4 linked regions of the Macaca fascicularis genome follow. The protein of the gene in region 2 purifies or fractionates together with the protein of the main gene of each other region. This does not show direct contact. Links are inferred from orthologs where the notes say so. Each region holds a gene or a part of one and is shown on either strand. Other genes may lie near its edges.

The links.
Region 1: the proteins of OTUD5 (region 2) and MAGED1 purify together in Homo sapiens (affinity purification with mass spectrometry, with the first as the bait; 3 studies listed by BioGRID). This does not show direct contact. The link is inferred for Macaca fascicularis from reciprocal best matches to the Homo sapiens genes OTUD5 and MAGED1.
Region 3: the proteins of OTUD5 (region 2) and ZGPAT purify together in Homo sapiens (affinity purification with mass spectrometry; 3 studies listed by BioGRID, with this or other methods). This does not show direct contact. The link is inferred for Macaca fascicularis from reciprocal best matches to the Homo sapiens genes OTUD5 and ZGPAT.
Region 4: the proteins of OTUD5 (region 2) and KHDRBS1 purify together in Homo sapiens (affinity purification with mass spectrometry, with the first as the bait; 3 studies listed by BioGRID). This does not show direct contact. The link is inferred for Macaca fascicularis from reciprocal best matches to the Homo sapiens genes OTUD5 and KHDRBS1.

What each region holds. Positions count from the first base shown.
Region 1 is NC_088395.1:51,960,827-51,965,684, forward strand, and holds part of MAGED1 (melanoma-associated antigen D1), read left to right. Parts: intron 1-1,415; exon of another isoform or gene 1,416-1,546; intron 1,547-2,062; 5' UTR 2,063-2,098; coding exon 2,099-2,143; intron 2,144-2,417; coding exon 2,418-3,551; intron 3,552-4,194; coding exon 4,195-4,858. UniProt on the Homo sapiens protein: Involved in the apoptotic response after nerve growth factor (NGF) binding in neuronal cells. Inhibits cell cycle progression, and facilitates NGFR-mediated apoptosis. May act as a regulator of the function of DLX family members.
Region 2 is NC_088395.1:49,113,537-49,119,029, reverse strand, and holds the start of OTUD5 (OTU domain-containing protein 5), read left to right. Parts: upstream 1-2,260; 5' UTR 2,261-2,604; coding exon 2,605-3,198; intron 3,199-5,493. UniProt on the Homo sapiens protein: Deubiquitinating enzyme that functions as a negative regulator of the innate immune system. Has peptidase activity towards 'Lys-48'- and 'Lys-63'-linked polyubiquitin chains. Can also cleave 'Lys-11'-linked ubiquitin chains (in vitro).
Region 3 is NC_088384.1:119,848,681-119,853,736, reverse strand, and holds the end of ZGPAT (zinc finger CCCH-type with G patch domain-containing protein), read right to left. Parts: intron 4,132-5,056; coding exon 3,998-4,131; intron 3,786-3,997; exon of another isoform or gene 3,763-3,785; coding exon 3,610-3,762; exon of another isoform or gene 2,687-3,609; coding exon 2,567-2,686; exon of another isoform or gene 2,351-2,566; coding exon 1,945-2,350; intron 1,729-1,944; coding exon 1,590-1,728; 3' UTR 1,569-1,589; downstream 1-1,568. Other genes in the region: LIME1 (lck-interacting transmembrane adapter 1), read right to left, coding at 1,322-1,568. UniProt on the Homo sapiens protein: Transcription repressor that specifically binds the 5'-GGAG[GA]A[GA]A-3' consensus sequence. Represses transcription by recruiting the chromatin multiprotein complex NuRD to target promoters.
Region 4 is NC_088375.1:203,001,114-203,005,971, reverse strand, and holds part of KHDRBS1 (KH domain-containing, RNA-binding, signal transduction-associated protein 1), read left to right. Parts: intron 1-2,306; coding exon 2,307-2,431; intron 2,432-3,533; coding exon 3,534-3,650; intron 3,651-4,858. UniProt on the Homo sapiens protein: Recruited and tyrosine phosphorylated by several receptor systems, for example the T-cell, leptin and insulin receptors. Once phosphorylated, functions as an adapter protein in signal transduction cascades by binding to SH2 and SH3 domain-containing proteins.

The DNA of each region.
Region 1 (4,858 bases), about 2.8 Mb from region 2:
GGAAGCATAGCAGCGTGTGTGTTCTTGGGTAGGACCCACTTGCTGTGCATTCCACTTTGCACATTGAGAAACCGGGCTCAGAGAATTGAGTGACCTGAGCGGGCTCACACAGCTGGAGACAGACAGGCTGGGCACTCCATCGCTGGAATTCTGAAGCCCAGCCCAGTTTCTCTCCGTAAGACCACAGCTGCCCCAGACCCCAGCCCTGAAAGGAACCAGGGCTTGCCATGGCTCAGACACACAGGTCTGATTGTCCTGGCTGCTCCAGTGGGCACCAGAAGGCCTCAGGGACAGTGCGATTGTATCCCTGATAAGGAAGAGGCCTGACGTTCTGAGCACAGAGTGGACCCCAAGGAGCAATTTCCACACCTGGATGGACCCACATAGGGCAGGGGGGAGGGTGGGGGCCTCTGCTTGTGTCCTCCTGAATGCAGAGCATGAGCTTGGGCCTCCTAGAACACAAACTTTGCTTGTTTAGGACAAATGGGGTGCCGTGGTCTGTTGCTCAAATGGAGGAGGGAGGGGTACCCTTAGTCCCCAGGGCAGCATGAGCAGAACGTGGGTTTTGGAGTCAGGAAGACCCAGACCCAAATTTTGCATTTTGTTTTCTGGCTTTGTGGCCTTGTCTAGTTTATGCAATGTATATGTGCCTCATCTTCCTGATCTGTAAAATGAGGGTGCTGACATTCACCTCCCAGGGCTGCTGTGACGGGAAGACAAGCCCCAGCACAAATCCTGCTGTGATGTACAAGCTGTGCCCTTCCCTCCTTTCCTCCCCCAACACACACAAATGAGTCCATCACCGGAGCTGCATAAAGAACAGGGAAGAAACTAACGTTCTTTCTGCGTCTGGGAGCTTGTGGGGGCGGGCAGGGAGTGGGGGAGAAATCATGGAGTCACGTGGCAGCCACAGACTTACTACTACTACTTTGTTAGCTCCAATAGTGTATCCTCTCAGGCCATTCCGTTTCCTCAGCGGAGGTCTAACACTTGTTGCAATTAGAGACCCCACACAGAGACCTAAGCGTGCTGGGCAAGGGGGTGGAGATGCAAGCCGACCTGACAGGAGGGGCCTTGAGTAGGGGAGGGACGGAATAGAGACGCATTGCGGAAAAGGTAGGGGGCCGGTGTGTGGGGCAAGGGGTGTGACCAAGAGGCACAGCGCATCTGTTGGGGGAGGGGGCGTAGAGGAAGGGGAGGTGCTGTTGTATAGTGTCGACCTGGTTGGTGGTGGGGTGGTGTGTTGGCAAAGGGGGCGGGACCGCCTTCAAGCGCACATGCGCATCATGGTCTCCAGGACGAAGCTTTTGTTGGGAAAGCAGGCGGGACTGACTTTGGCTTTTCAGTGTTTGCGCATGCGCGTAATGTCCTGAGGCGGTGGGTGGTATATTAGGCGAAGAGGCGGGGTCGCCCAAGCTGCCGCGCTGGCATTTTCTCCTGGACAAGGAGAGAGTGCGGCTGCTGAGAGCCGAGCCCAGCAATCCCGATCCTCTGAGTCGTGAAGAAGGGAGGCAGCGAGGGGGTTGGGGTTGGGGCCTGAGGCAAGGTGAGAATTAGCCCCCAGACAGGGCATCTGCCCCCTGGTGCGGGCCCCCATTTTTGTTTTATCCCGATCCCTTCACCCTGGATTCTGAATCCCTTTCCACCCCCCAAGCCCCAATTCACATGCCCCTCCCGATCCTTCCTGATTCAAAACCCCTGTCCGATCCCTCCCATCGTTCGAAATCCTCAGATTCCTTGACCTCGATCTGTACTGTTAGATGATTCCTCCTGACTCAAAACCTCCATGCAACTTCCCAAATGCGAATCCCAACCCAACCGCACCCCTCCTCCGCGAATTCAGAACTCATCTGCTTCCCAAACCCCGATTTGAAGCATCTCCCTGTCAGTAGCTTCTCGGGGTTCAGAACCTGCATCTGGACGCCCATTCACTTTTCCTGCTCCGATCCGTTCCTCCTCACATTCACCTTATCCGCCCGCACAATCACCACAGTCATCCCCCTCCCAATTCGGTCCTTCGTATTTGCCCTCTGTAGTATAACGCCCTGCCCCTCTCCCACAGCCCCCAGGCTCCGCTCTTGCCAGAGGGACAGGAGCCATGGCTCAGAAAATGGACTGTGGTGCGGGCCTCCTCGGCTTCCAGGTGAGATCTCCACTCCCCACCCCAGCATTTCCCCAGCCGACAGTCACCCCTCCCCGCGGGCCTCTTTGGTTTCCCAAACGCCGGGATCCGGTTTGGCCCTCTTTAGTGACTAGACTCCGTGGGCCTTTCGAATTCTCATCGTTTATCGAAGGGGGGGAGGGGCGTCTCTTTTCAGCCATCAGTCCCTGCTCAGAGAGAGGGGAGACCCTGTTAGTAGTCAGGGCAATCTGCCCAGAGAATGCGGGGTGGGTAAGGAACCATTTTTTTTTTCCAGAGTCCTGACGCTTGTAGAGCAGTCTGTCACCCCCTCCCCCAGCCTCCTGCCTCCACCCTCCCTCTCTCTGCATTCCCCACTCTGTGCGACCCCCCTTATTCTCAACTCCGCGATCCGCCTCCCGTCCTGAGCTGCTACTGCACGCCTCTCAGAGCGTCCCTGGCTCCTGTTCCTGCCCACTCTCTGCACACCTCCCCACCCCTCATTTTGCCCCTGCCCTACTCCATCCCTGCCACATGTTTAGTACCCGCCCCGCCCCCTATCGCCCCTTGCGGGTCCCATAGATCTCTGCCTCAGCCCCCCTGTTTTTGCACCCACCACCCGCCTGCAGCTCCCCTGTTGCGCTGCCACCCGGGCTCCCTATTCCCACCCCACCTCCTGCCTCAGAGGCCCAGAGATTTAATTTTTCCCCTCCTGTGTTTGCAGGCTGAGGCCTCTGTAGAAGACAGCGCCTTGCTTATGCAGACCTTGATGGAGGCCATCCAGATCTCAGAGGCTCCACCTACTAACCAGGCCACTGCAGCTGCTAGTCCCCAGAGTTCACAGCCCCCAACTGCCAATGAGATGGCTGACATTCAGGTTTCAGCAGCTGCCGCTAGGCCTAAGTCAGCCTTTAAAGTCCAGAATGCCACCACAAAAGGCCCAAATGGTGTCTATGATTTCTCTCAGGCTCATAATGCCAAGGACGTGCCCAACACGCAGCCCAAGGCAGCCCTTAAGTCCCAAAATGCCACCCCAAAGGGTCCAAATGCTGCCTATGATTTTTCCCAGGCAGCAACCACTGGTGAGTTAGCTGCTAACAAGTCTGAGATGGCCTTTAAGGCCCAGAATGCCACTACTAAAGTGGGCCCAAATGCCACCTACAATTTCTCTCAGTCTCTCAATGCCAATGACCTGGCCAACAGCAGGCCTAAGACCCCCTTCAAGGCTTGGAATGATACCACTAAGTCCCCAACAGCTGATACCCAGACCCAGAATGTAAATCAGGCCAAAATGGCCACTTCCCAGGCTGACATAGAGACCGACCCAGGTATCTCTGAATCTGACGGTGCAACTGCACAGACATCAGCAGATGGTTCCCAGGCTCAGAATCTGGAGTCCCGGACAATAATTCGGGGCAAGAGGACCCGCAAGGTGAGATCCCTGCTAGCTTCACTTTGCTTTGGGGCTCTCTCCTTTCTTCTCTGAGGGTGTTCGTTTGTTCAAAACAATGTATGTAACTGTATTCAGCTAGGCTATAGGCCATTTGAAGAGAATGTTTATTCCTGTCCTCCGGGTGTTCACAAACTGATGGGGAGATAATACATGGGCACAAATAATATATACAACCTGTATGTAATTCAGTTTACATTGTGTTAGTAACTACCGTGTGTTAAGCCTTGAGCTAGGCACATTCACACGGGTTGTCTCATAAAATCTTAAAGGCACCTCCTACCAGGTAGGGATCATAGTCCCAATTTTACAGAGAAGGAAATTAAGTGGCAGAGAAGTGAAGTGACTTGAGTGATTTGTTCAGGGTGGTACAGACAGAGCCAGTGGTGGACATAGGAAGAGGAGAAGCCTCAGTCCCCATCTTTGGTTTGTTCCTGACCTGGTTCGGAGATGAAACTCCTGCCTGGAAGACAGTGAAAGACAAACCCAGGACTCAGGGTGACCAATGGCTAGTGGGTCAGGCTGTCACTACAGGTGAGGGTTTAGAGGGCATTCCTGGAATAGATAAGGTAAGGACACAGAACCCACTGGTGATTCTGAACTTTTCTTCTCTCTGATGATACAGATTAATAACTTGAATGTTGAAGAGAACAGCAGTGGGGATCAGAGGCGGGCCCCACTGGCTGCAGGGACCTGGAGGTCTGCACCAGTTCCAGTGACCACTCAGAACCCACCTGGCGCACCCCCCAACGTGCTCTGGCAGACGCCATTGGCTTGGCAGAACCCCTCAGGCTGGCAAAACCAGACAGCCAGGCAGACCCCACCAGCACGTCAGAGCCCTCCAGCTAGGCAGACCCCACCAGCCTGGCAGAACCCAGTTGCTTGGCAGAACCCAGTGATCTGGCCAAACCCAGTAATCTGGCAGAACCCAGTGATCTGGCCAAACCCCATTGTCTGGCCTGGCCCTGTTGTCTGGCCGAATCCACTGGCCTGGCAGAATCCACCTGGATGGCAGACCCCACCTGGATGGCAGACCCCACCAGGCTGGCAGGGTCCTCCAGACTGGCAAGGTCCTCCTGACTGGCCGCTACCACCCGACTGGCCACTGCCACCCGATTGGCCACTTCCCACTGACTGGCCACTACCACCTGACTGGATCCCCGCTGATTGGCCAATTCCACCTGATTGGCAGAACCTGCGCCCCTCGCCTAACCTGCGCCCTTCCCCCAATTCGCGTGCCTCACAGAACCCGGGTGCTGCACAGCCCCGAGATGTGGCCCTTCTTCAGG
Region 2 (5,493 bases):
AGTGGCAGTAGAATTGGAGAGTCTAGAGATTTGGGAGGTAGAATTGGCAGGACTTGGGATTGACAGGCATGTGGGAGTTGAGGAAGAGGGAGCAGTCAAGGTTGACTCCCAGGTTCTGGCTTGGACAACGGCTGGATGGGAGTGCTATTCCCTGGTAAAGGGAACATCAAAGCTGTTAGCACTCAGTGCTAGGTACATAGTAAGTACTTGGTGAAGGGTAGCCATGATTACTATCTTGAGTTCAGTTTTAGATGTGTAGTGAGTGAAATATATGGGGCTAGGGTGAGATGGTCATGAGAAGATTCAATGTGATAATGTGCATCTGGCACAGAGCCATGAACACAACAGGCCTGGTAAACATGAAAGTCCCCTCCTCCCATTAAGTCTCATGAGCAGAAAACACTACTTAGAACCCATTTATTACTTACACCTTTCAGGGAAGAACTTCAACTAGGGTTAGTATCTGAAGGGAGGCAAGGCTATACTCAAAACAGCTTTCCCATGGTCTCTTTCAGTCAACCTGTTGTATGGCTTGTCTCCTAAGACTGGAAGTGAACTCCAAATACCTTCTTGGTTCATCAGCTCATCTGAACCCCATAACCATTCCCTGAGGTAGTCTGGGCAGGCATTATCATTCCCGTTTTACACACGGGTAATCTCAAAAGCAACACAATGACTTGCTCAAGATCATACAGTTGGTAATGGTCCATCTGTGCCTGGAACTGAGGTCTTTCTGGCTCCAAAGCCTACGATCCTTCCACTGCACCACCATGCAGACTACTTTATTGAACACTTCCTATGTGCTGGGCACAACACCAGGCCCTTCAGAAGCATTAATCTCTGATCCTCAGATTGGAATTATCATTGCCAATTTATAGAATAGAAATTGAGGATGGGTGCTCACTTCGCACCACATATACTAAACTTAGAACGATACAGAGAAGATTAGCATGGCACTATGCGAAAGGATGACACGCAAATACGTGAAGCGTTCTATAAAAAAGTAAACAACAATAACAAAAATTGAGGACGGGGTGGGAGTTAAATGACTGACAAAGATCAATCAGACAGGAAGCGCAGAGCTAGAATTAGCGTGTAGCTCTCCAGCTACTCAATAGCAGGGATTCTGCCAACCCCATTTCGAGACGCTGACTGGTGACAGAGCTGATTCATAAACCTCGATCGACCCAAGCAAACTCAGTTTTAGAAAAAGGCTGGGCTTGGCCAGGCGCGGTGACTCACGCCTGTAATCCCAGCACTCTGCGAAGCCGAGGCGGGAGGATCGCTTGAGCCCAGGAGGTGGAGATCAGCCTGGGCAACATAGCGAGACTTTGTCCCTACAAAAAAGTGAAAAAAAAATTAGCCGGGCGTAGTGGTGCGCGCTTGCGGTTCCAGCTATTCGGGAGACTGAGGCGGGAGGATCGCTTGAACCTTGGAGTTGGAGTTTGCAGTGAGCTATGATCGCGCCACCGCATTCCAGCCTGGGCGACAGAGTGAGACCCCCGTCTCGATTAGAGGGGGGGGGAAAAAAAAAAAAAAAAAAAAAAAAAAAAAAAGGCTGGGCCGCGCCTGCGCACTAGCCATAGGGCCGGGGAGGTCAACCCGAGGGCGAGAGTGCTGTGGTGCCAGAGAAGGCGTGTCTGTTTCCCAAACAACCACTGTCCCCACGGTGCTTGTCTGTCCCAAGGTTGGTCGGTATGACGCGAGTGACGGCGTCTTTTAGCCAATCACCGCAGAACTCAGGCTGTTGCCGGGGTGAAGCGGTGTCCGCCTCCCCCGGAAGGATATTTGTAGGTGGGTGGGACCGGAAGTGACGCTACAGGGGAATGCTATGCTCTGGGAGTGTTGATGTTTTCCAGTCATTCCGGCTGACAGCGTTCAAGTTGGAAGCCTGGAGGGGAGGTGTTTTTCCTGTCGTACGTGGGACAGGCCACGCTGTCCGTCCGCAGTACCGACGACTGCGAGTCAGAGCTTCGGGGAGAAAAGTGAAGAGCAAGACGGGACCGACGGGGAGAAAGGCTGGGAACCAGGGTGTCGACTTTGACTGAAATTTGAGACGGAGGGCACCGGAGGGCGAGCACTCGCCTGTGATTGGCCCGTGGGCGTCGTCGAGGACCCACGCAGCTGCTCAATTGGTTGGTGTTCGCAATTGTTGTGGCTGCGGCGGCGATTTTGCCCACGTACTTCCGAGCAAGGGGCGGGGCTGTGCCCTGGCGCGCGTGCGCAGCGCCCCGGGGCCCCACCCGGTAGTGCAAGAACCTGCGAGGGGGCGGAGCGAAGAGGTGCTTGTTTTGGTTCTGTTTCCTTTGAAGCAGAAGGCCGGAACAAGCGTAGCAATAAATTTGCTGGACTTGGAGAGAAGGTTCCGACAAACTCGCCGCACTGCCTTCATCTTGGACTTTACATCCGGGTTCTCCTCCCGGCGTGACCCGCGCGCCGCCGCCGCCGCCGCCGCCGAGGGTTCTCGAACCGGTGCCGCGATCCCTTTATCCGGGTTTCGCCGTTCCCGTCGTGCTTAGCGCACTACACTAGCCCCCCCTCATCCGGGTTCTCTCCCGGCGTGCCTCGCGCCGGGTTTGTTGGGGGGTACTCGGCGGTGCAGCCATGACTATACTCCCCAAAAAGAAGCCGCCGCCTCCCGACGCCGACCCCGCCAACGAGCCGCCGCCGCCCGGGCCGCTGCCCCCGGCGCCGCGGCGCGGCGGGGGTGTGGGCGTGGGCGGCGGCGGCACGGGCGTGGGCGGCGGCGATCGCGACCGTGACTCCGGCGTCGTGGGGGCCCGTCCGCGAGCTTCGCCACCGCCTCAAGGCCCGCTACCAGGACCGCCGGGCGCACTTCATCGCTGGGCGCTGGCCGTGCCGCCTGGTGCAGTGGCGGGTCCCCGGCCACAACAGGCTTCTCCACCTCCTTGCGGGGGCCCAGGTGGTCCCGGCGGCGGTCCCGGCGACGCGCTGGGCGCAGCGGCGGCGGGTGTGGGTGCCGCGGGCGTGGTGGTGGGTGTGGGTGGTGCCGTAGGCGTGGGCGGCTGCTGCTCCGGGCCTGGGCACAGCAAGCGGCGACGTCAAGCTCCCGGGGTTGGCGCGGTTGGCGGGGGCAGTCCCGAGCGTGAGGAGGTCGGCGCAGGCTACAACAGTGAGGACGAGTATGAGGCGGCTGCAGCACGCATCGAGGCTATGGACCCTGCCACTGTCGAGCAGGTAAGAGCTGCGGGATGAGGGGTGGGCGGCTACGGCAGATGGGACCCCCAGACTGTGAAGAGCCTCAAGGAAGGCTGTTTGAGATCGCCCCAAGGGATTTAGGCGTTTTCACTGGGCCTGATAGTCTTCTCTGGTGGTAGGGGTGTGAGATGCCTTCTTTCCTCCCCTCCAGGGATTTGGGGCTAGAGGCCTACGATAAGGTGGCAGACTTAAAGATGGGATCCGAGGCCTCTTTTAGGGTCTGTAATCGTCATTTCAGTCCTTGGGACCTCATCTTGTAGGGCCAATAGGTGGGAATTCTCCAAGAGACACAGGTAGGATCGCGCCCCTCTTGAGCAGGAGTCTCAGGTCTTCCAAAAGACCTAGGTCTGTGTTCAGTGGCTTAAGAGCTCTTTTCCTTTGGGATAGAAGTTTGAGATTCCTCCTCCAGGAAAGTCAAATAAGGTGGAGACCTCAGAGATCGGGTCTGAACATCCCCAAGGAGCCTAAGCCCTTTCAAGAGTCTAAGACACTCTGCATGTAGGACAGTCCTCTCCTGCTTCGCTAGGTAACACGGCACAGGACCACTGAATAGCCAGACCTGAGACCTCAAGGGTCCTAAGTCTGTCTTCAGGGGCCTGAGAGTCCTTATTGTAGAATCAAGGTCCTGACACACACACACACACACACACACACACACCCTTTAAGGACAGGGATCTTCTAAGCTTTTTCCAGGGATGTAAGACTTTTCGCAGGGAGATATGATTCCCTTGCCCTTGGGGACAGGGACCGAAACCAACACCCAAGGACCAGCAGCTTTACTTGAGTACAAGAGACTCATCCGCTTTCTGAGTGACAAAGGTCTGCATTTCCTATCAGTGGCTGAGACCTACCTCTTCGGAGACAAGGCCCTGACTCTCTTCAGGATCTTAAGCTTCTTGTAAGAAGAGATGGGCCCTCAGCACCCCCACCAGGGGCCTGAACCTTTCTTCAGGAAAATGAAGACTCACAGCGTTGGATCCTAGGGCCTAAGATCCACCTGCTTATGGACTGAGGTTTTTAGAGACCGAGTCTGAGGCCTCTTTGGGGGCGTGGTGTTCTGCTGCAAAGGTCTCAGACAAGGTGAAGCCTTAGGAGATTCTTCTTCTCAAGACTAGTGTCTGAGTGGTTTTGGGGGTCCGAGACTCCCTACCCCACAAGCATATGTGACCTTTTTACCCCAATTATAAGGGACTGAAACATACCTTGATACAGTATCTCATTTTCCCTTTTGTAACAGGGGTTTGAGGCCCTCCCCTCTTTGGGCCTAAGCTTCTTGTCAGGGACATATGACCCTTGCCTTGGGAACTTGAGCCTGAGACGACTCCTCAGGGGACATGGGCAACATGGGATCCCAGAGATCATGTCTGGGGCCTCCCTACAGATCTCTGCCTACATTTAAGGGCCTGAGACCCACTCTGCCAAGGACACTTGAGCTTTCCTTCAGGGATGGGAGACTCATACATACCCTGGTGACTTGTGTGTCTAGAGGTAAGGTCTGAGCTTCCTCCTCAAGGATCTTAAGGTGTACCCCTGAGAAACAGGAGGACTCCTCCCCCGACGCCTGAGCCCTGAGACCCTTCCCTTGGGGCATGGATAAAGGATCCCTGTGGAACAGGGTCCTGAGTCTACCTCCAAGGGTTTGAATCCTACCTCAGGTGTGCGAAGGCCTGTTCCCCACCTTAGGACCTGATTTCTGAACCTGTCCTTAGGGTACTGTCACCTCACCTCAGACAACATACATACACCCTAGTCATAGGGGTCATTTAGGGATGTAAGATTTCCTGCCTCGGGGACTTGGGCCTCAGATTCCCAATTCCTTTCGGGGACATGAGTAGAGTAGGATTCTGAGGAAAAGAGTCTGGGCCCGAGCTTCCTCTCTGGGACAAGATATCGTTTGCCTTAGGGACTGGGGCCTGGCTCCCACTTGGGCATGAGGCTCTCCCCCTACCACACCAGGGATTCCTTTCTGTACCGGGAGAGGAACGTGAGGTCATCCTCTCCCATTGGACAGAAGGACCTGGATGCTCTTCAGGGTCATATGAACCCCTTATCCTGAGCTCCCTCGTGGCCAGGGCCAAGAAGATCCTCTTCCTTTCTATGAGAAGATTGTCAGGTCCTGGGGACATGGAGTCTGGAGCCTCCCTTCTGAAACCAGGAGCGATTCAGAGTTTCTCCCTGACCTAGCTATGCTTGCTTCTCACCTCTAGATCATATAATAAGTTTTGAACTGCTTTTGACAAGCTTTTTTCTTCCCAGGGACAGGAAAGGGGTTTG
Region 3 (5,056 bases), on a different chromosome or scaffold from region 2:
AAGGGGACCTATGCCACTTGGCAGCGCCAAATCTGCACCTGCCGCGGCTGCGGAGCTCCCGCGTCTCCCGCTCCTGCTCTGACTCAGCACAGGAAGCCCCAAGGCCTGGCAGTCCCTTCCTCCCAGAGGTGCCCACCTTCCCTTCTGGCGGGGGTTCCGGTGAGGTGAGGTGAGCAAGGGCTGCTCTGCCTGGCCCCTCGGTGTCCCTGCAGGCGACCATGGTAACGCCCAGCACGGCTGCAAGGAGGGGCAGGGCAGCTGTGGCCACTGTAGCCCAAACTGTAACCAGCATCGGGGGGAGGCCCTGGGTGTGCGCCACGGGCCACAGACGCCACCCGCAGCCACTCTCTGCCCAGACGTGGTCTCCTGTGTCAGGTAGCGCCCCCAAGCCACTCGCCACAGAGCCCAGAACTGGGAGAAGCTGGAGGCTGGGTCAGCAGGCAGCAGCAGCTGCTGGGGGTGCTGATACCCCCACCCCACTTCTGGCTCTTCTTGTCTGCCACTGTCTCTGCCAGAGGATCTGTCCCTTCTTGGGGATTAGCAGAATTCTGGGGGTGGGGGACGCCTTATAGTCAGCACATCCCGCAGCACAGAGGCAGCGGCTGGCGGGTGAGGGGTGGCCTCTGGAGTTTGGGGCCAGTCTGCCCAGACCCAGGGAGTGGGTTTCAGGCCGGCCGACTAACCCAGCTACAGCCACGTCCCAAGGCCTCCCAGACCCCAGCTGCCCCCCAGGAGGGCACTTGGGGACCAAGAGACTTGGGGATCTGCCCAGGCACTTACCAAGCCCACGGCCAGGGGTCCTCAGCTCTGTCTGGGGCAGGCGAGGAAGGTCTTTGTACAGCCCTCGGCTGAGCTCCCCACCTCATCACTTCCTGCTCCTGTTGCCGAGCGCCTCCCCTGAGCCTCCCACCCTGGGCAGCAGCCACCACCGCAGCCTCACCCACCTGCTGCGCCCCGCCCGAAGCCTAGATGAAACGTGTGTGCCTCGAGCCCGCACTGTTCTGACAGCCTAACTCACATCCCCTCCACACATGAAGACGTGAGCAGAGCTGGCACAGAACCCCCAAACTCACAGGGCCAGGTCTGCCTGCCTCACCAGGAGTACCCCACGTGGTGGGCCACAGTCCTCCCACCCGTCTCGCCCGCTGGCCCGTCTTGCCTGCTGGAGCAGCACTGAGCTCCACCCATCTGTGGGTGTCAGGCAGCCTGGCGGGCACCCCGGCCTCCAATCTGCCTTGGACAGAGAAGGGAGAGAAGGGAGAATGCTGGCCTCCTAGGCCCCTCCAGCCCAGCCCACCGCTCACCACAGCCCTGCACAGACCCTTCTCTCCCCAGAGACCCTGCAGCCAGCTGATCTCCACTGAATGACACTGTGATGAAATCACTTTAATGTCCTTGCCAAGGAAATGCCCAAGACACTGGCAGGTGGGCAAGAAAGTGTCCAGACAGGACCCTGCAGCCCCGTCTCCACTCAGCAGGGTCCGCACGCCCCAGGCCAGCAGGCCGGCCCCTCCTTGGGCAACGCTGGTCTTTCTGAGGGCAGCCTGTGCCGGGGTCCCACACTTCATCCATAGTGCTTGCAGGGTTCTCTAGAACTCAGTCATCTTCTTGTGGGTGTCTGCCTTCCTCTGCTCCTGCTGCAGGCCTGCTTCCTGAGCCCGGAGCTGCCCCAGCTGGCGCTGGGCTCCTGCCAGCTTCTCCTGCAGCTGGGCTGACGCCACGCTATGCCTGCGGAGAGGCTCACCAGTCAGTGTGGGGTCCCCGGCCATGCCGCCAGCCCCAGGCTGCCATGTCCACTGCCCGTGTGCCCACTGCCTGTCCTCCAACACGCAGACCCCTCCTGGACTCAGCCTGACATGCTTGGGTCAGGTGACCTCCCGCAGGTGTCCTGGGGGCAGGGCCACCCTGGGTTTCCCTCTGCCCTGAGCCGGGCCCCACACCTACCGGCCAGCGTTGCGGGTGAGAGCCTCCTGGATGCTCCTGATGTCCCGCTGGGTTCGCTCGATCTTCTCCTCGGTCTGGAAGAGCCGCAGGCTCAGCGCCCGCTTGGCGCTCTTGCTGGCATGGTACATGTCCTTGCTCCTCCTCCCCGCCGGGGCTGCCCCGGCCTCTAGGGCCCCAGGAGCCTGGCCTTGCAGCTTTTCATTGAGGAAGTCAAACACATTCCGAGGGGGTGGGCGGCCCCCAGGCCGGGCCCCTCTTCCCCGGCACCTGGGGGGCTTGTTGGTGCCACCCTTGCCAACCCTGGTCCGCTTCTGCAGCGTCTCCACACACTGGTCCAGCGACTTCCCTCGTGGCAACACTACAGCATGGATGGGCTCCACCCGACCATCTGCGTGTCGGCCCAAACCTGAGACAGGAACGGCAGTGCTGTGGCTGCCGGACGCTGGGAACCTGATGGCTGCGGGACCCCCGGGAACGTGACGGCTGCGGGACCCCCGGGAACGTGACGGCTGCGGGACCCCCGGGAACCTGATGGCTGCGGGACCCCCGGGGAATCTGATGGCTGCGGGACCTGGGCTATGCTGCAGCCTCTGCCCACTTCTCCAGGGCTGCTTGTACTCACCCTTGCCAAACTCGTAGCCCATCTTGGTGAGGAGTCTGGAGCCTATGCCTCGCGTGTGCACCTCCCAGCCGGCAAAGGCAGAGCTGCAGGTCCCGGAGTCCACAGTGTCCGACCCCACCACTGCAAGAGAAGGACAGAGGGCAGTGGCCGGCCAGGGCAGAGGACTATACATGGTGACCTGGGCTCTGACCAATGAGCTCAGATCCTGGGCAGAGCCCCAACACCCCACCTCTGGGGCTCCGTGCTCTGTCACTGAGGCTGCTGTGGGCATGTGACACCAGGCAGAGTGCATGGCAGTCCCCACGGCCTCCTGCACCGTGACCCCTCCTCCACAGCCCTCTCCTGCCCTTGCCCTTCTCCACCTTCGCAAGGCCGTGAGCTCCTCACCTGCCCTCACAGAGTCCTTGGTTTGGTCCTCCTTCACCAGGGACTTGGGGCTTCAGAAACCACCATCACTGATCCCTGGGTACACCTCCAACATGCAGACCCCTCCTGGACTCAGCCCACCATGCTTGGGTCAGGTGACCTCCCGCATATACACACACACGTATACACACACCCCTCTGGAGAGCTGGCCACCGGCCACTAGTTCCCATTCCCGAAGCTTCCACCCTGGCTGTCTGGACACCACCTCTGTCTGCCAGGATCCACCAGGCACCCAGGTCCCAAGTTTGAGAAGCCATGCAGAGGAGCTGCCCCTCTTGCACTCCAGGCCTCATCAGTTGTTCATTTTCTGTGACTTCCTTGGCAACTCCGGGCGCCTCCTCTCCCATGGCCACAGCCATGACCATGGCCTCCCATCAGTGAGACTGTAGCTGTTGTACCCACGCTCCTTGAAGACAAAGGCCACCACGGATCTACCCCGGCCCTTCACTCGCACTCCTGTACCCCTGCCCCACACGGCCTCCCCAGGCACGGCTGGCGCCCTCGCTGTGGCCACTCTCTCCAATAGTTTGGTTAGACGGTCGGTGCCCTCAAAAGCCAGGAGCCTCTCAGGGTGACCCCACCTTCCTGGCTCCTGGGTTCCACAGCTGCTGCCATACCTCTGGCATAGCTGGAGTCACCTGTGCCATCGCTGTCTGAGTCGGACTCTGTGGCCTCTGTGCGCAGTGGGGGCAGGATGCCGTCCCCCTCCACCACAGCCTCCCTCAGCAGCAGCGAGTCAAACTTGACTGTGTAGTAGCCATTGTCCACATCTAGAGGCAGAGACAAGCTGCAGGTCAGCATCCTTGACAGCAGCTGCCACTGATGGGGAACCACCCTGGACATCAGGAGCAAGGCAGGGCAGAGGCTGAGGGTAGATGTGCTCATTTCGGGCCCAGAGCCAGAGTCCCAACACTCATCCCAAAGGAGGCAGGGAGCAGCCACGCAGTAATAACACGTGTGGAGCCTGGGAGGGTGTTCCCGGGAGGCCTCCACGGCCAGCCTCACCGGTGATGCGTGCCGCGTGCCAGAGGCCATCCTGGTGCTTGGCCAGACACGCAGAGCCGGCCTGCAGGGAGCTCAGGTCTGGGTCCTGGAAGGGGCGCAGCTCATCCAGAGGGACCACCTGCCCATGGGAGAACCTGCAGACAGAGCCATAGGGGGCAGGGCTCAGACATGGGCCACCAGGGGCAAATAAACCCAGGAGCACTGACCCATCCACCTGGGCACCATCCTGAGGGAGCCAGACACATGCATGTATACACACACACACGCACACATATACACATACATGCACATACACACATGTACACATACTCGTACACACATGCACATGCACTAACACATGCATACACGTACATACACAGGTGCACACATGCATATACACACGTACACACATACACATGCATATACACACATACACATACACTCACACATGCATACACGCATGCACACACATACACATATACGCATGCACATACACATGTACACACATACACACATGCATATAACACATAAACATGTAGTCATACACATACACACAGACCCTCACACATTTATAAACATGCACTCACACACACACTCATGCAAATACATATGCAGTCATACATGGATATACACAAGCACCCTCTCACCCACGCACATGCGCGCACACACACGCCTGCTCACACACGTGCACATGCACTCTCACCCATACACATGCGCGCACACACACGCCCTCTCACACACATGTGCACATGCACTCACCCACACGAGCACACACATGCACACACACGCGCACAAACGTGCCCTCACCCACACATGCAGTCACCCACACACATGCGCACACACGCACTGTCACATGTACTAACATATACACCCATACACGCATATACACACACATGCACACACACAACATGCACATATGCATACATGCACACATGCACACACATGACATGCACATATGCACATACATGCACACACGACATGCACATATGCACATACATGCATACACGCTCACACTTGCACACACACATACAGTAGTCTCTTGGTATCTGTAGGAAACCCCCTGTGGACACTAAAACCCGA
Region 4 (4,858 bases), on a different chromosome or scaffold from region 2:
TAGTGGTGCATGCCTGTAGTTCCAGCTACTTGGAAGGCTGAGGCAGGAGAGTCGCTTGAACCCGGGAAGCAGAGGTTCCAGTGAGCAGAGATTGTGCCACTGCACTCCAGTCTGGGTGACAGAGCGAGACCGTGTCTCAAAAAATAATAATAATTAGTAAATAAATAAAAACTGTTAAGGGTATACATTTGCAGAACGTGTTTGAGGTAGGGTATGTTTATACTTTAAGCCAATGATTTTCAAAGTATGGTCCCTGCACCAGCAGTATCAGAATTACCTGGGAACTTGTTGGAATTGCAAATTCCTAACACAAATCCCAGACTGGGTTTGAGGCCCAGCAGTCTAGTTTAATAAGCCCTCTTCTAGGTGATTCTGATGCATGAAGAAGTTTGGGAACCCTAGTCTTAAAATTCTAGAACATGGGAATATTATGTGATATTCTATTACAGAGTATTTTCTGATATTTAGAATGTTCCACTGATTTTAGGGAGTATATGTATTTTAACTATTCTCAGTGAATCATATAAGCTTTCAGTTGCTGCTCATTCCTTGGGCACTTTTCCCTCATCTCTGTTAGAACTCCTGTTATAGCACGTAACTATACTTCATTGCCACCCCTATAGTCTGGGAACTCCAGTATATAAACAGTGAAGACAGAGACCAGTCTGACTCGCTCTGTTGTATCTCCTGTGCTTTGCAAGACAGATGCCTGGCTCTTAGTAAGTCCTCCATAGTGGTTAATGATTGTACCTATTATAGCTCTCCCTTCATCTGCCTCTCCATACCGTAGGAAGCACTCAAACACTTGCAGTCACTCAATGAATGAAGTTCCTTAATGGTAGGAAATCTTTTTTTCTTTTTTTTTTTTTTTTTTTGAGACGGAGTCTTCCTCTGTCACCCAGGCTGGAGTGCTGTGGCCGGATCTCAGCTCACTGCAAGCTCCGCCTCCCGGGTTCCCGCCATTCTCCTGCCTCAGCCTCCCGAGTAGCTGGGACTACAGGCACCCGCCACCTCGCCCGGCTAGTTTTTTGTATTTTTTAGTAGAGACGGGGTTTCACCGTGTTAGTCAGGATGGTCTCGATCTCCTGACCTTGTGATCCGCCCGTCTCGGCCTCCCAAAGTGCTGGGATTACAGGCTTGAGCCACCGCGCCCGGCCAGTAGGAAATCTTTTTGGTATGCCAAGTTTCTATCTAATGAAACTGTCTTAACCTGCGAATTGAAAGTACTTTTGGGTGATGATGGATATGTCTGTGGCCATAATGGTGGTGATAGTTTCATGGGTGTATACTTATCTCCAAACTCATCATGAATTGTATACATTAATTATGTATGGGTTTTTACATATCAGTTATACTTCAATAAAATGTTTTTTTAGAAAGTACCTTGTGGCTGGGCCGGGCGCAGTGGCTCATGCCTGTAATCCCAGCACTTTGGGAGGCTGAGGCAGGTGGATCACCTGAGGTCGGGAGTTCAAGACCAGCCTGACCAACATGGAGAAACCCCGTCTCTACTAAAAATACAAAATTAGCTGGGCATGGTGGCACATGCCTGTAATCCCTGCTACTTGGAAGGCTGAGGCAGGAGAATCGCTTGAACCCAGGAGGCAGAGGTTACGGTGAGCCAAGATTGCACCCAGCCTGGGCAACAGGAGTGAAACTCCGTCTCAAAAAAGTACCTGGTGCATTTTGTATCGTTTAGACATTGGCTGAATTTGGGCTAGATAATGGTGACGATACATTAAGTACTTTATGAAAAATTGCCTTTAGTTAGGCATATCTACATATTTTATTAACTTCTCTTACGTCACACAACTAGTGAGTAGCAGAGTAAGAACAAGGTCTTTCAGACTCTTAAGGACTAGTATCTAGAGTACTAATGTCACTGTGGAACTTTAATGGAACTATCCATTGTATATTTAGATTATTGATTTTTGCTTTTTTCAAGGTAAGATTATATTTTGTCTTGATGCAGATTTTAATTTTTTGTTTGTTTCTTTATTCTCCTTTCCCCATCTCACCCAATTAATTTTGTTAAATCGATTTAAGAAACATTTAAATGTCTCTATTCTCACGTGAGGCTTCAGGTGAGGTTAGAAGAGCACACTACTTTTATTAGAAGCAGGCTTTGGGCTTTCTAATCAACTTCATACAACTTTAGTACTTTCAGCTAGTTTCTTTCTGAAATTGGCACATTCATGTGTACTATTTGGTCTCACTATATGGTACTTCATGTTATTGCTTTAAGCAGACTTCAAAATTTGCTTTTATTTACCAGAGCAAAAATTTAAATTGTTTTTCCTATTCAGAAATTGAGAAGATTCAGAAAGGAGACTCAAAAAAGGACGATGAAGAGAATTACTTGGATTTATTTTCTCATAAGAACATGAAACTGAAAGAGCGAGTGCTGATACCTGTCAAGCAGTATCCCAAGGTAAGGCAAAAAGTGCCTTGCATCTTTGAGTTATCTTTATAGTTACGAGAGAGTCATGGACTCCTGGGGATTGTGATGCTTTAGAAACTTAAGCCTGTGAAGCTTCTCTTTCATGCTTGCAGTACCTGTTTCTGGCAATTGAAATATCTAAGTTCTTAACTAAACATAGTTATAGCCAGGAAGGAAATGTAATAATCTTTTTATTATCAAAAAGTTTCTTTCTCTAATGACTGCTCAGGCTACAAGTTCAAAGAAAAAAAAAAATAAAACCTGAAGAGTTGCTCTCTGTCAAAAGACTAACCTGAAATCTAAATAAAAGGAAATATAATACAAATCCTCAATTGGATGAAGTTAATTTTATTTTCTTACTAAAAGTTTACTTTTAAGTAAATGCTTTTTTTCTTCTTTTTTTTTTTTTTCTTTTTTTAGGAAAGCAATTAGTTACATTTAGTTTATCCAGCGTGCTATCAAAGGGTGCTATATAGTCTCTTCTGTTCTGAGGTCACTGCGTTAACAATGTTTATGTATGTTAAGGCATGCATAAACAGGCACAGTGGCTCATGCCTGTAATGCCAGCACTTTGGGAGGCCAATGCAGGCAGATTACTTGAGCCCAGGAATTCAAGACCAGCCTAAGCAACATAGCAAAACCGTATCTCTACAAAAAATAACAAAAATTAGCCTGATATGGTGATGTGCACCTATAGTCCCAGCTACTCCAGAGGCTGAGGCGGGAGGATCACTTGAGCCCAGGAAGTCGAGGCTGTGGTGAGCCATGATCATGTCACTACACTTTGGCCTGGGCAACAAAGTGAGAGCCTGTCTCAAAATAAAGTAAAAAATAAAATAGTAAAGGTCTTAGTGTATTATGGAAGATGGCCAGAATACATCAGAAAAGCCAAATTCAGGTCTAGGAACTGCCACTTTCTAGTTTCATAATCTTAAACTAATCACTTTATTAATATGGCTTCAGCGTCCTTCAGTAAAACGGGAATGGTATTACTCTACCTTTGCAGGGTTGTTTAAAATCAAATGAGGTAATTTATGTGGAGATGTTTTTATATAGTAGCATGTATATTTAGAAATCCTTTATTTTCTGTCAGTTCAATTTTGTGGGGAAGATTCTTGGACCACAAGGGAATACAATCAAAAGACTGCAGGAAGAGACTGGTGCAAAGATCTCTGTGTTGGGAAAGGGCTCAATGAGAGACAAAGCCAAGGTAAGCTCACATTAGTGAGGCAAGAGGACATCCTAATGCGTTCTACTTGCCCAGAATGCAGTATAGATGCCTTATAGAGGCAAGAATTTTGTGTATGTACAGAATGTGGCTCCTTTAAGTGTGCATTGGGTGCAAGAGATTATACACCAAGTTAATTTACTTGCTTGGCAACCCTGGAAGAGCCTAGGTGTGCCCTGGTGATAGTTTTCTTTTGGACTTTTGACTGCATAGTAATGGACAGAGCAGTAGCATCTTGTGCATTGGTAGGATTGTCTGGGAAAACTTGAAAGGGGAGCTGGATATACTAAAACTTAGTCTAAAGCAGACAAAAGACACTAAAAGGCAAACAGCACACCCCCTTTTTTGTAACCTGGAAAAGTGAGAACAATAGTGTTGTGAGAGCAGAAGAGTTTGAGGATTAGTTGGTTTGTTTTATAGCCGGCTGGAATGTGAGGCTCACTAAAAGAATGTATTCCAAAAGGAGCCATGAGTAATCCTGACTACAGAATCTAATGAGTCTTTTCCCATGCCATAGCCGCATATACTGTGTACTCTGTGACAAGAAACTTCTCACCAAAACAGAATGGTCTTAGCCTTCTGGGGTCACTTTATTTGATGAGATATGCCTGCTACAGTCCGAAAACCTATTCTTTCAATCCTCCTTTTATGTAGCCTAATGGACACGTGTTTGTTTTCTCAGGTCATTTCTTACTAGATGCATATAGTTAGGGCTGAAGTGTGTTGTTCTAGCTAATGAGATTTACATGAGCTTTTCTTCTCTCTGTCCTGACTTCTTTCTTCCCCTAGCACTCCCTAGACCATATAAGCAGATAAGCAGAGCTCGTGGTGATTAACAGCTCTACCTGAGATTTAAAAACAAATGCTTGGCACACAGCTATTATCTGAATAGAGACTAGAATTAAGTTTTTCTTCTTTATGCTTTTAGTAAGAGCTCCAGTGGATATCTCAGGGATTTAAGATGACAATTAACTGTTAGCAGCAGACCATGTGCAAGTTTAGCAGGCTGTGCAAATTACTGTTCTTCAGAGCTTGTTTCACTTTTTTTTTTTTCTTGAGACGGAGCCTTGCTCTTGCCCAGGCTGGAGTGCAGTGGCGCAACCTCCAACTCCCGGGTTCAAGCGATTCTCCTGCCTCAGCCTCCTGAGTAGCTGGGATTACAGGCAAGCACCACCATGCCCGGCTAATTT